Xenopus tropicalis: one gene and its partner. The protein of the gene in region 1 purifies or fractionates together with the protein of each later gene. This does not show direct contact. Links are inferred from orthologs where the notes say so. Each region holds a gene or a part of one and is shown on either strand. Other genes may lie near its edges.

Region 1 (4,859 bases):
ACTGCTTCCAGCACTCCAGCCCCGATCCCCACTGATTCTTGCCTAACGGGTGCTGTTTACAAAAGTGGCTTATTTTTACTCCATGATTTGGTGCGGTTGGAATTTGTGTTCTGTTAAATCCCATGAATAGCCGGCATGAGTGCATTTAGAAGACCCGTTGCTAGGAGCCGTTTTTAAATAAGCATGCTTGCCTGCAGAGTATTAAGGTTGTATTTGTTTGCCTTCTCAGATTTACTGAGCATGTATAGCAAGAAAATGGGATTTTTAAACTGCCTGTGTCAAAGTAAGATTAAGGACTGCTTTTCCCATGAGCTAAGAATTGCATGAGGTTTTGCACAGTTTTGGTAACGCTGCTTTTATATGTCAGAATGCCTCGGGTTTTAATGGCACAAAATCACATTCTACTTGTACTATATGTATATTGTCTAGCTTTACCTGCTAGTTTTATTGATAAAACCAAATTGTGATTGTGCAGTTTGTTCAGTGCTTTAGCTGTCTACAGGGCTATTTGCCCAGGGCCCACCATTATTCATTGCAGTTGCAATAACTTAAAGGAGAAATAAGCCCTATAAACAAATATGGATAGAAGTGTTGTTTTATATACTGAACTTCATACTTCAGTCTAAAGGCCTGGATTTTAAGTTTTAAAATCTCTTAACAGTAATAACCAGGCCTTTAAAGTTGTGCACAGGGGGTCACTGTAGTTAGGCGTGTCAGTGGCACTGCACATGCTCAGTGTGCTTTGGGACAGCTGCTGAGAAGATAAGCTTAGGGGTCATTAAGCAGAAAATGAGGTTCGTCTGTCACAGATGCTGGCGCTACAGGGCTGATTATTAAAAGTTGGTGCAAATTGCACTGAGCTGCCATATAATGACAATTAAATTGCTATCAGTCTTGTAACTTGTATAGTCAATAATTTAAGCTGCAAGTTGTTCCCTAAGTTCAGGTACTGTATGTAACCGCATCACAGAACATGGGGAAATAATATAGGGAGCTCCTGGGGGCATATATAGAGTAGGGATGCACCGAATCCACTGTTTTGGATTTGGCCAACCGCTGAATCCTTTGTAAAGTATTCGGCAGAATACCGCATCAAATGCTTATTAGCATGCTAATTAGGTTTTAGAAGGGTTAAATGTCTGAAAATTTTGGAAAAATTTACGTGACAAAAAGTCACGTGATTTTTAAAATTCGTATTCGGTTTGCTCAGGACCATGGATTCGGTCAAATTCGAATCCTGACAAACAAGGCCGAATCTTGGCCGAATCCTGGATTTGCTGCATCCCTAATATGGAGACACAGATCTCCCCTGCTAAAGGACTTTGGTAGCCTTGGGCTGGTACCAAATCTTAAATTATAATGTGCAGCATTCTTGGCCTACTTCATTTTTTTTGTCTTAGTTTTAGTTCTTCTAAGGATGCACCAAATCCATAATCTTTGTGATCGACTGAATCCCAAATCCTTCAGGTTTCCCCTGAAATAACTAGCCCTTTCTTTTCAGTCATCTTGCATAGCTCTGCAATGTAGCTTTGTTTCTGAGGAATATTTTATATACTTCCATAACACTGAAATGCTGCTCACCTTTACAATGGATAAGACTGTTGGCAATGGTGCGAGAAGTTTTTCCATTTCCTGTCAAGCAAGCCAATCAAACGGTTTAATGATTACAGGGGTCAGAAGCTTACCCTTGCAGTTATACAGGCTAGTGAGAACAGACTACAGGTTGATTTGTTTGCCCCCAAGATCTGCTGTATAAGGAGCTCCTGGTGGCTTCTCTAGGTTGCTTTACACAGCATATATTTAATCCCTGTTGACTGAACCAAAATGTCTTGACAGTATATAAATGTAAATATATGGGTTTCATATTTTGAAAAATGTTGTCATACTGTTTGCAGCTGCTAGGGCAAAATTTGTGTTTGCCTTGTTTCTAATTTACTGCTTTTATTTTGGTCTCATTGTCCCTTAAATCTTGAGCTCTTTGGTGGCTGGGTATCTTTATTAATTTGAAAAATGTTAACATTGACTAATATTTAAAATACATTCAGCAGTTTTAAACAAAGATCTAATATTTTTTTCCCCTTCTTCCCTTAGAGCTCAATCATGGTAGCCTAGGCTCTCACTATGAAAACACCCACTGGGGGCCGGTCTCTTCCAATGGTGATTCTAGCACTACCTGGGAAAAAGTCATTGTAGACGGCACAGAAAAAGTGTGGCCATCGATCACAGGCACTAGCTCCGAGTTGACCTCAGAATGTATGGATATTGACTCTTCCCCCAGCTCTGGGGCAGGAAAGAGCCACCTAGTGCCGTTTGGGGATACCACAGAGGAAATGGATACTATGAGAAATGGCATTGGACATAGTTCTCAGAGCAAACTTTTGGTTGGCAACAACAGCAATAATGCAGGCAATGGAAGTATTAATGGGCCGTGGGCCGTGACCCATGGAACTGTAATAAGCACATGTCAAGATGGCCCCGATAGCAATTCAGATAGTAGGCACAACAGGATTAATGCTTGGGGCACCGTGAATACTTCAGTGAACGGAGTTCTAAATCCAAGCACTTTGAATATGAATGGCAACCATGGTGCCTGGCCCATTTTGGATAGCAATGGACATGCCCTTAAAGGGTCAAATAATTCTGGCACAAATGTTCCAAGCAGTACTATAGGTCAGGTGTCTAACAATCGGAGTATTAACCCTAAAATGGGCAGCTCAGCCCCTGGCTCCTGGGGAAATCTTCAGGAGAATGGGGATCCTGAACTCAGTGGAACACGGAAGGCTTCTTTTAGTGGGCGACCTCAAAACCTTAACACTGAAATGACTGGACCAAATAACACTACTAACTTTATGACCTCTAGTTTACCAAACTCTGCTGGCTTATTGCAGACAAATGAACTCCCTAATTCTACAGGGCATGGGGCTTGGAGTGTGAGCAATATGAATCATTCTCCTCTTCACACCCCTTCAGTTACAAATGGCACTTCCATTCCTCACCTAAGTAACGGTGAGGAAAAAAACAGCGGATCATACGGTACTACATGGGGTACTTCCGGCTCCTCTTATTCTGGAGATAAGATTTCAGTCCCTAAAGGGCAAGCTAATGGTGACACTGTGAATGCGACTATAATGCAGCCAGGCCTATATGGGCCCAATGGCCCAAACAATAAAATAAACGGGAATAAAGGAGGATTGTGGGAGTCAGGGACTGTAAACTCCCAAAATATGCATTGGGGAAGTGGAAATGCAGGAACTTCTGGTGGAAGTCAACGAGGATGGGGAAACGCAGCACAAAACACTGGCACTAATCTTTCAAATGGTGGTTGGAACAAATTGCCTAACAATCAGCATTCCAATGAGGGGGAAAACAAAGAAAATGGTAGGAAAACGTCAAATACGTGGAAGTCTGCTGAGGAAGAGAATGCAGGGCAAATTTCAGCAGGATCCAAAGGCATTGAGGCAAATGTATGGGCCAAAACTACAGGTACGGGGGAAAGTGAAGGTAGTGTAGACAGCACTGGAAGTCAGAGTGAATATGGGACCGGACACGGGCTTCAGGAAATAAGGAAGACGGACCAGCAAACTTTACTCCAAAGTATTGTAAATAAAGGCGACCTAGATCCACGGGTCTTGTGCAACACTGGCTGGGGACAGATTCCAATTAAACAGAACACTGCCTGGGACACTGATGCTGCTTCGTCTCTGAGCAACAGAAAAACTGACAATGGAACAGAAGCTTGGGGATGCTCTGTATCAAAGACTTCTAACTCAGGGGGATGGGTGGATAAGCCCAACCCTAACAGCAATGATACCTCATCAGTATCTGGGTGGGGAGATCCAAAGTCTGCTACAGGGTGGGGTGATGCCAAAGGCGCAGTAAGCCAAGGGGAATGGGAAGATCAATTTGCTGCTACTACTGGAATGGTCAAGAGCAATCAATCATGGGGGAATAATAAAGAGGACAAATCCAATTGGAATGATGCACAAAAGGTCAAACAGGGGTGGGGGTCACACAGTGGTGACAGCTGGGGAGAGAATTCAAAGAGTAATCACTGGGGAACAGCAAAGTCAAGTTCTAGCAGCGACAGCGAGAGATCTGTATCTGGTTGGAGTGAGCCTAGTCGTTCCAACTCCTGGGGAAGCGGAAATCAAAATAATGCATCAAGCTGGGCTGAACCCTCCAAGTCAACTTCAGCTCAAGGGTGGGGTGAGCCAAAAAAGCCTAACCAGGGGAATGGGGATGTTTCCAAATGTGGCCCGAACCACATGGAGAGCGAACATCTGCAAGCAAGCTCTGCAGAATGGAACAAAAAGCAAGAAAGTGGGTCATGGGGGGCACAGCCAGCCACCAATAAGTCTTCTGGGTGGTCGGGTGGATCACTGTCAACTCCAACAAAGGAAGATGAGCCAACTGGTTGGCAAGAGCCATCACCAGAATCCGTACGGCGCAAAATGGAAATTGATGATGGGACTGCAGCCTGGGGTGATCCCAACCAATACAAATTCAAGAATGTGAACATGTGGGATAAAAATACATCTAAAAACATGAGTGCTGAGGAACACCAAGGCCAGGTTTATGCATTGCCCCCAACTTCAAGTACTATGCCAAATAAGGAAAGCAGCAGCAGCAACAGCAACAGCTCTGGTAAGATTTATTTATTTTAATATCTAACATCTGCGTGGGGCTTAACATACACAGAACTGTCTCTGCCCCCATATGTTAGAATATTCATGTAAGAACAGTGTGTATTTTGTATTTGATACTTTGGGCACTGAAAATAAAATTCATCTGTTGGGGTTGTTCTGTGAATATCATATATTCTTAGCTGTTAAATTTAGTCTTGCTCCTAATCATTTGGG
Region 2 (4,859 bases), on another chromosome or scaffold:
TGTGTGTGTGTGTGTGTGTCCAAACTTCCTGTGTTCCTATGTTTTTAAAGTGAAATGTAATGGAACTATGTGTCAACATTTGCATATATGTTGTCTTTTAACACACTGCCTAACTAAATGTCATTTGGCAAGGGGTGCCTAAACTTTTGCATTCAACTATATGACTATGTATAATATGAGGATATTAGAAATCACCTGGCAGTTCCATGTTTAAAAGCACTCTGCTTTTGGCAATGAACCTTTACATTGCCATGTGATTTCTTCTTGTTACAATTTACTAGAGGGCTATTCTATCCAAGTATACCTCTGTCATCTCAATACAAGCAAGAGAAGCAATGCTCTTCCTCCAGTAAATTATGTTGGGAAGCATCATCTCTATTCTGGAAGTTTCCACTAGAGATCCTGTATTTTTTTAGTCTGCTGCTTTCCTCAGCAGTTCTTTTATTGCAGTGTTGTTCTTTTCTACACAGGATTTGGCGCACTCTGTGCAATCAGAACAATGAGACGGTCTTTGTCAGGTCATTGTTTTACCATAGTTGCTTACCCTTTCTACTATAGAGCAATGCCCTCTATTCATAATGTGTTATGTCACATTGCACTGTATGTTTGTAATGAGCTAGGCTGAACATTTAATAATATTATCAACATTATCTTGATATAATACGCAAGAGCCATGAATTCCCAGTGAATTATATCCTTATAATTGATTATAGCAGTTATAATTGTTGTAATTTCTGTCACATGACTCACTATAAATATAATAAACAATGTACCCCCTGTTCTAAAATAAAGTCACTTTGGAGTTCCATGACTGGTACTGCAAATGTTATTTGCCTATGTAGAATTTAAAAAGGGACATCTGATGATTAAAAGCATACATGCATTAATACACATAAGCCAAACTTGTCTGTGACTGTAAATGTGTTCCTTTTTTCCTGATCTTTTCTGTACCCCTTCCCATTGCAGTGGCTATGACTTTGGCTACCTAATAAAAATTCTGACAAATTCAAACCTGCCTGAGGTAGAACTAGACTTTTTTGAAATCCTGCGCCTGTTTTTCCCAGTGATATACGATGTCAAATACCTGATGAAAAGCTGCAAAAATCTCAAGGTGGGTGAGACTAAAATGCACTGGCCTTATTTTGTAAACCATGGTGGAAATCTGGGTACTTTTCTTCTAAAATTCTTTTAGCTAAATATTACTCATTAGTTTGGTTTTGGTTTTGGTTTCTACAGCAGACCAGCAGCCATTGTGTCGTAGATAGAGATGAATCAAATCCATCATTTTTGGATTCCACTACAAGAATTAATAGAGGGACATGGTATTTGGGTTGTATTCTGTAAAACTTTCCCATTGTCTCCTGGCAGGGTGGATTGCAGGAAGTGGCAGAGCAGCTGGAACTCAAGCGTATTGGTCCTCAGCATCAAGCAGGCTCTGACTCATTACTTACTGGAATGGCATTCTTTAAAATGAGAGAGGTAAGTTCACATGTTATTGATATGCTTGTATGTGGTAATTTTGAAGTTGGGAAGGAAATATTAGAGTAGTAGCTAATGCCAACATAAAGAAACCACTAGCAAAATAGCTTGGAAGCCCCTATTCCTTAAATCAACCCTGCATGATCCCCTTTATATGTAGTGGTTTGGCCCCTGATATTTCCTGTCCCTGCAGGCAGCTTGCGCCTTGGCAGGGGTCTGGGGTTTACCTGCTCCTGGGTGACTTTAGATGCATGTGTGTGAGATGCCTAGTTCAGCCCATAAAATTGTGCATTCTTTTAGATGCCTCTGACATGTCCAGAACCTATTGTGATCAATCAGTTGGCCAGTCAGAGAATGTGTAGCACTAGTAGTTAGGGGGGCATGCAGACATGTTACTTATATACTCAAGTGGTTGTAAGTATCTTTGAATTACTACTTGCTGTAGGTATGTTTTTCAGGGTAAACTGCCTGGATGTGTTGTTTCAGTGTTAATACTACTGTATGTCGTTTTTTAGCCAATCGCTTCTGACCAGTGGTATTTTTGTGTGTTTATGTTCATTTTCAGATGTTCTTTGAAGATCACATAGATGATGCAAAATACTGTGGCCATTTATATGGTCTGGGATCCGGATCGTCTTATGTACAGAATGGTACAGGAAATGCATATGAAGAGGAAGCCAATAAACAATCATGACACCAAGAGAAACTGCACTTTTTATTGCCAAACTACAGAAATTTGTACATGTTTTATCTCTGGTGATATTCCTTGGACACTGAATTTCCCCCATCTCCCTGCACACAGTTGTTCTGCCTTCATTCTTGTATCAATGTGGAACCACTTGGCCTTGGGGAGATCTGTGTCTCTAACTCCTATTTGCCTTACCTAGATATCAGCTGGCAGCATGGCACCGATAACAGCATCCTGTCACATCACACAGTAATGCGTCATCATTTGGTGCAAGATGGTTTGCCTTATTTTCTTACCTTTCACAACAATCATCCTCATGCTTCCAAAGCAGAAACTATCAGCAATATGCAACTATTGCCATCCAATGATTAGTACTTTAGCCTTGGGTTATTTGTCTCTTTAAATTCAGAAAAGACTCTATCCATATATATATATGCATCAGTTTGAGCATCTGTACATTGGTGTACCTATGCACTGATAACCACTGAGTAACCTGTACGTGGCATTCACTTGCCGGTGCACATAGATTTGTGCCTCTCCAGCCAAAAGCACATGAAATACTAACCCACTGGATAACTGCCGATTTGTTCTTTGTTACAAGCTTCCATATCCCTGACCCAGTTCTGCTGTTTGTAAACCTAAACATCATATGTTTATGCTTCAGCTTGACGTGATTAACACATTTATCTTGTTTGTGTTTGCCCAGGTCATCTTTTTTTTTTTTTTTTTTAATCCTATTTATTGGGTGCTTCATTTTGCAAAAGTCAAAATTTCATTGCTGGAAAAAAAGCCTCATGCAAAAATAAACAGAGACACAAAAAAGATACAAGAGGAACCAACAACAACAGAAAGTCAGGAATTAATTTGGATTGGATTAGGCGAAGGAATATACAATATTTTGTATTTGCAAAAATGACGTGTAATTATTTGTTGTAACAACAAAAACCTATTTGAAGTCATAGCTGAACAATGTTGCAGCTGTAGTGTAATACTAGATAACTTTTTTGGCAATATTTTTGCAATATATTTTTATATATATATATTGTCTGTGTAGACTGTGGAGTACTTTCCTATCTGTCACTGGATGGTAACTAGAGAAATTGTAGAATAGTTTTTTTTGGCAATGGCTCACCAGTGTTTCCCAGACAGCAAATGTGTGGATTGTATCATCACACTGACATGTAAGAAACCAGCAAGTCTCTCGTTCAGATACACCTGCCTTTCTACCTTTGTAATGGCTTTATTTTCTTTCCAAATGAGTTACAATTGTGTAACAAGAGTGGTCCTTTTTAATGCATAAGAAAAACAATTTGCAAACAAAGGATATTATTTGTTTTTAGAGCTTTTGTAAATAAAGGCTTAAAAAATTATTATTTTTTTTTGAAGGCTATTGATATCCTGTTATTGACTCTTTATGAAATAGAAGCCATAAAAGTTCCTTAGTGTTGAATCAAATAAGACCACCTTTGTTTACAAGTAATGGCACCTTACAGCTATCTGCACAGCAATGTTTGGGTTCCCCTGTCCCTTTTCAGCTTTGTTCAACCCTTGTGGCTTCTAGTGATGATTGCTGGTAGGTGGCTAATGAGCAATGTGCACAAGAAAAGGTTTTGTAGGGTGCTTTATCTTCATATCGCTGTTACTGACATATTCCGTGCTGATTATAGAAGCACTCCTCCAATCAGAGGTTAGTTAACTAGCCAACTAAGAAGTAAATTATCCTGAGCACGTCAAGGCCCAACTAGTTGTCCTGTAGTGATCATTTTGCCATGTCTTGCCCATGGTCTTTTTTTTATTTTAGGTATACTGTAGTTCACCTATGCATAAATGTTTAGCTTATTTCCTGTACATAATTTACAACACTTAGGGGCACTAAATTTTTAAATATGGCCCAGCCTCTGCAATTGCCCATTATTATTATATTAAGTGGCAGAGTTCTCAAATTTCTGTTTCCTGTAATTCAACTAAACTCATATTTTTACAAAGCAGAAGTAAAACTATCCCTGTGGAAAATGTATAATATAATCTATACAGTTATACATTCATTAAGACTTAATGAATTAGGTTAAAGTGAATGTAGGATAGGCCAGACCAGGGATGACTTTGATGTAGTTGGCCAGCTTGAATATGTTGCAATATATGAGCAAACAATCCCTGTTTTGTTTAAAGGAACAGTTCAGTGTAAAAATGAAACTGGGTAAAACAGACAGACTGCGCAAAATAAAAAATGTTTTCAATATAGTTAGTTAGTCAAAATGTAATCTATAAAGGCTGGCGTGAACAGATGTCGGTATATTACAAATATTTTTATTTTGCGCAGTCTATCCATTTTACAGTTTCATTTTTCATATTTTTACTGAACTGTTCCTTTAAAGGGGAGGACAGTTCTTAGTAGCTTAATGTACAGAATGTCTTAATGTCCTATATATGTATATATTTTTTTTTACATGAGTGCAGAGGAGCTCTTGTCTTTGTCTCAATGACACTATGTGACGCTACAGTTTTATTGCTATTACTTATCTGTTACAACCCTCTCCTATTTATCACCTTTAAAAACACAATAGTGACCGCTCCTCTTTGCTTCATACATCTGCTGATATCCCAGGCACTGATAGATATACTGCATTAGCATCTTAGATTTGTGCACTTGCCTAAACCAACCAATAATGTATATAGTTCTGGATGTATATTT

Evidence for each region. Proteins that work in one complex are often made in the same cells at the same time.
Region 2: the proteins of tnrc6a (region 1) and cnot7 purify together in Homo sapiens (affinity purification with western blotting; 3 studies listed by BioGRID and IntAct, with this or other methods). This does not show direct contact. The link is inferred for Xenopus tropicalis from reciprocal best matches to the Homo sapiens genes TNRC6A and CNOT7.

Annotation. Positions count from the first base shown.
Region 1 is NC_030685.2:20,138,137-20,142,995, forward strand, and holds part of tnrc6a (trinucleotide repeat-containing gene 6A protein), read left to right. Parts: intron 1-2,091; coding exon 2,092-4,644; intron 4,645-4,859.
Region 2 is NC_030677.2:42,291,897-42,296,755, reverse strand, and holds the end of cnot7 (CCR4-NOT transcription complex subunit 7), read left to right. Parts: intron 1-966; coding exon 967-1,111; intron 1,112-1,368; coding exon 1,369-1,479; intron 1,480-2,044; coding exon 2,045-2,173; 3' UTR 2,174-3,537; downstream 3,538-4,859. UniProt on the Homo sapiens protein: Has 3'-5' poly(A) exoribonuclease activity for synthetic poly(A) RNA substrate. Its function seems to be partially redundant with that of CNOT8.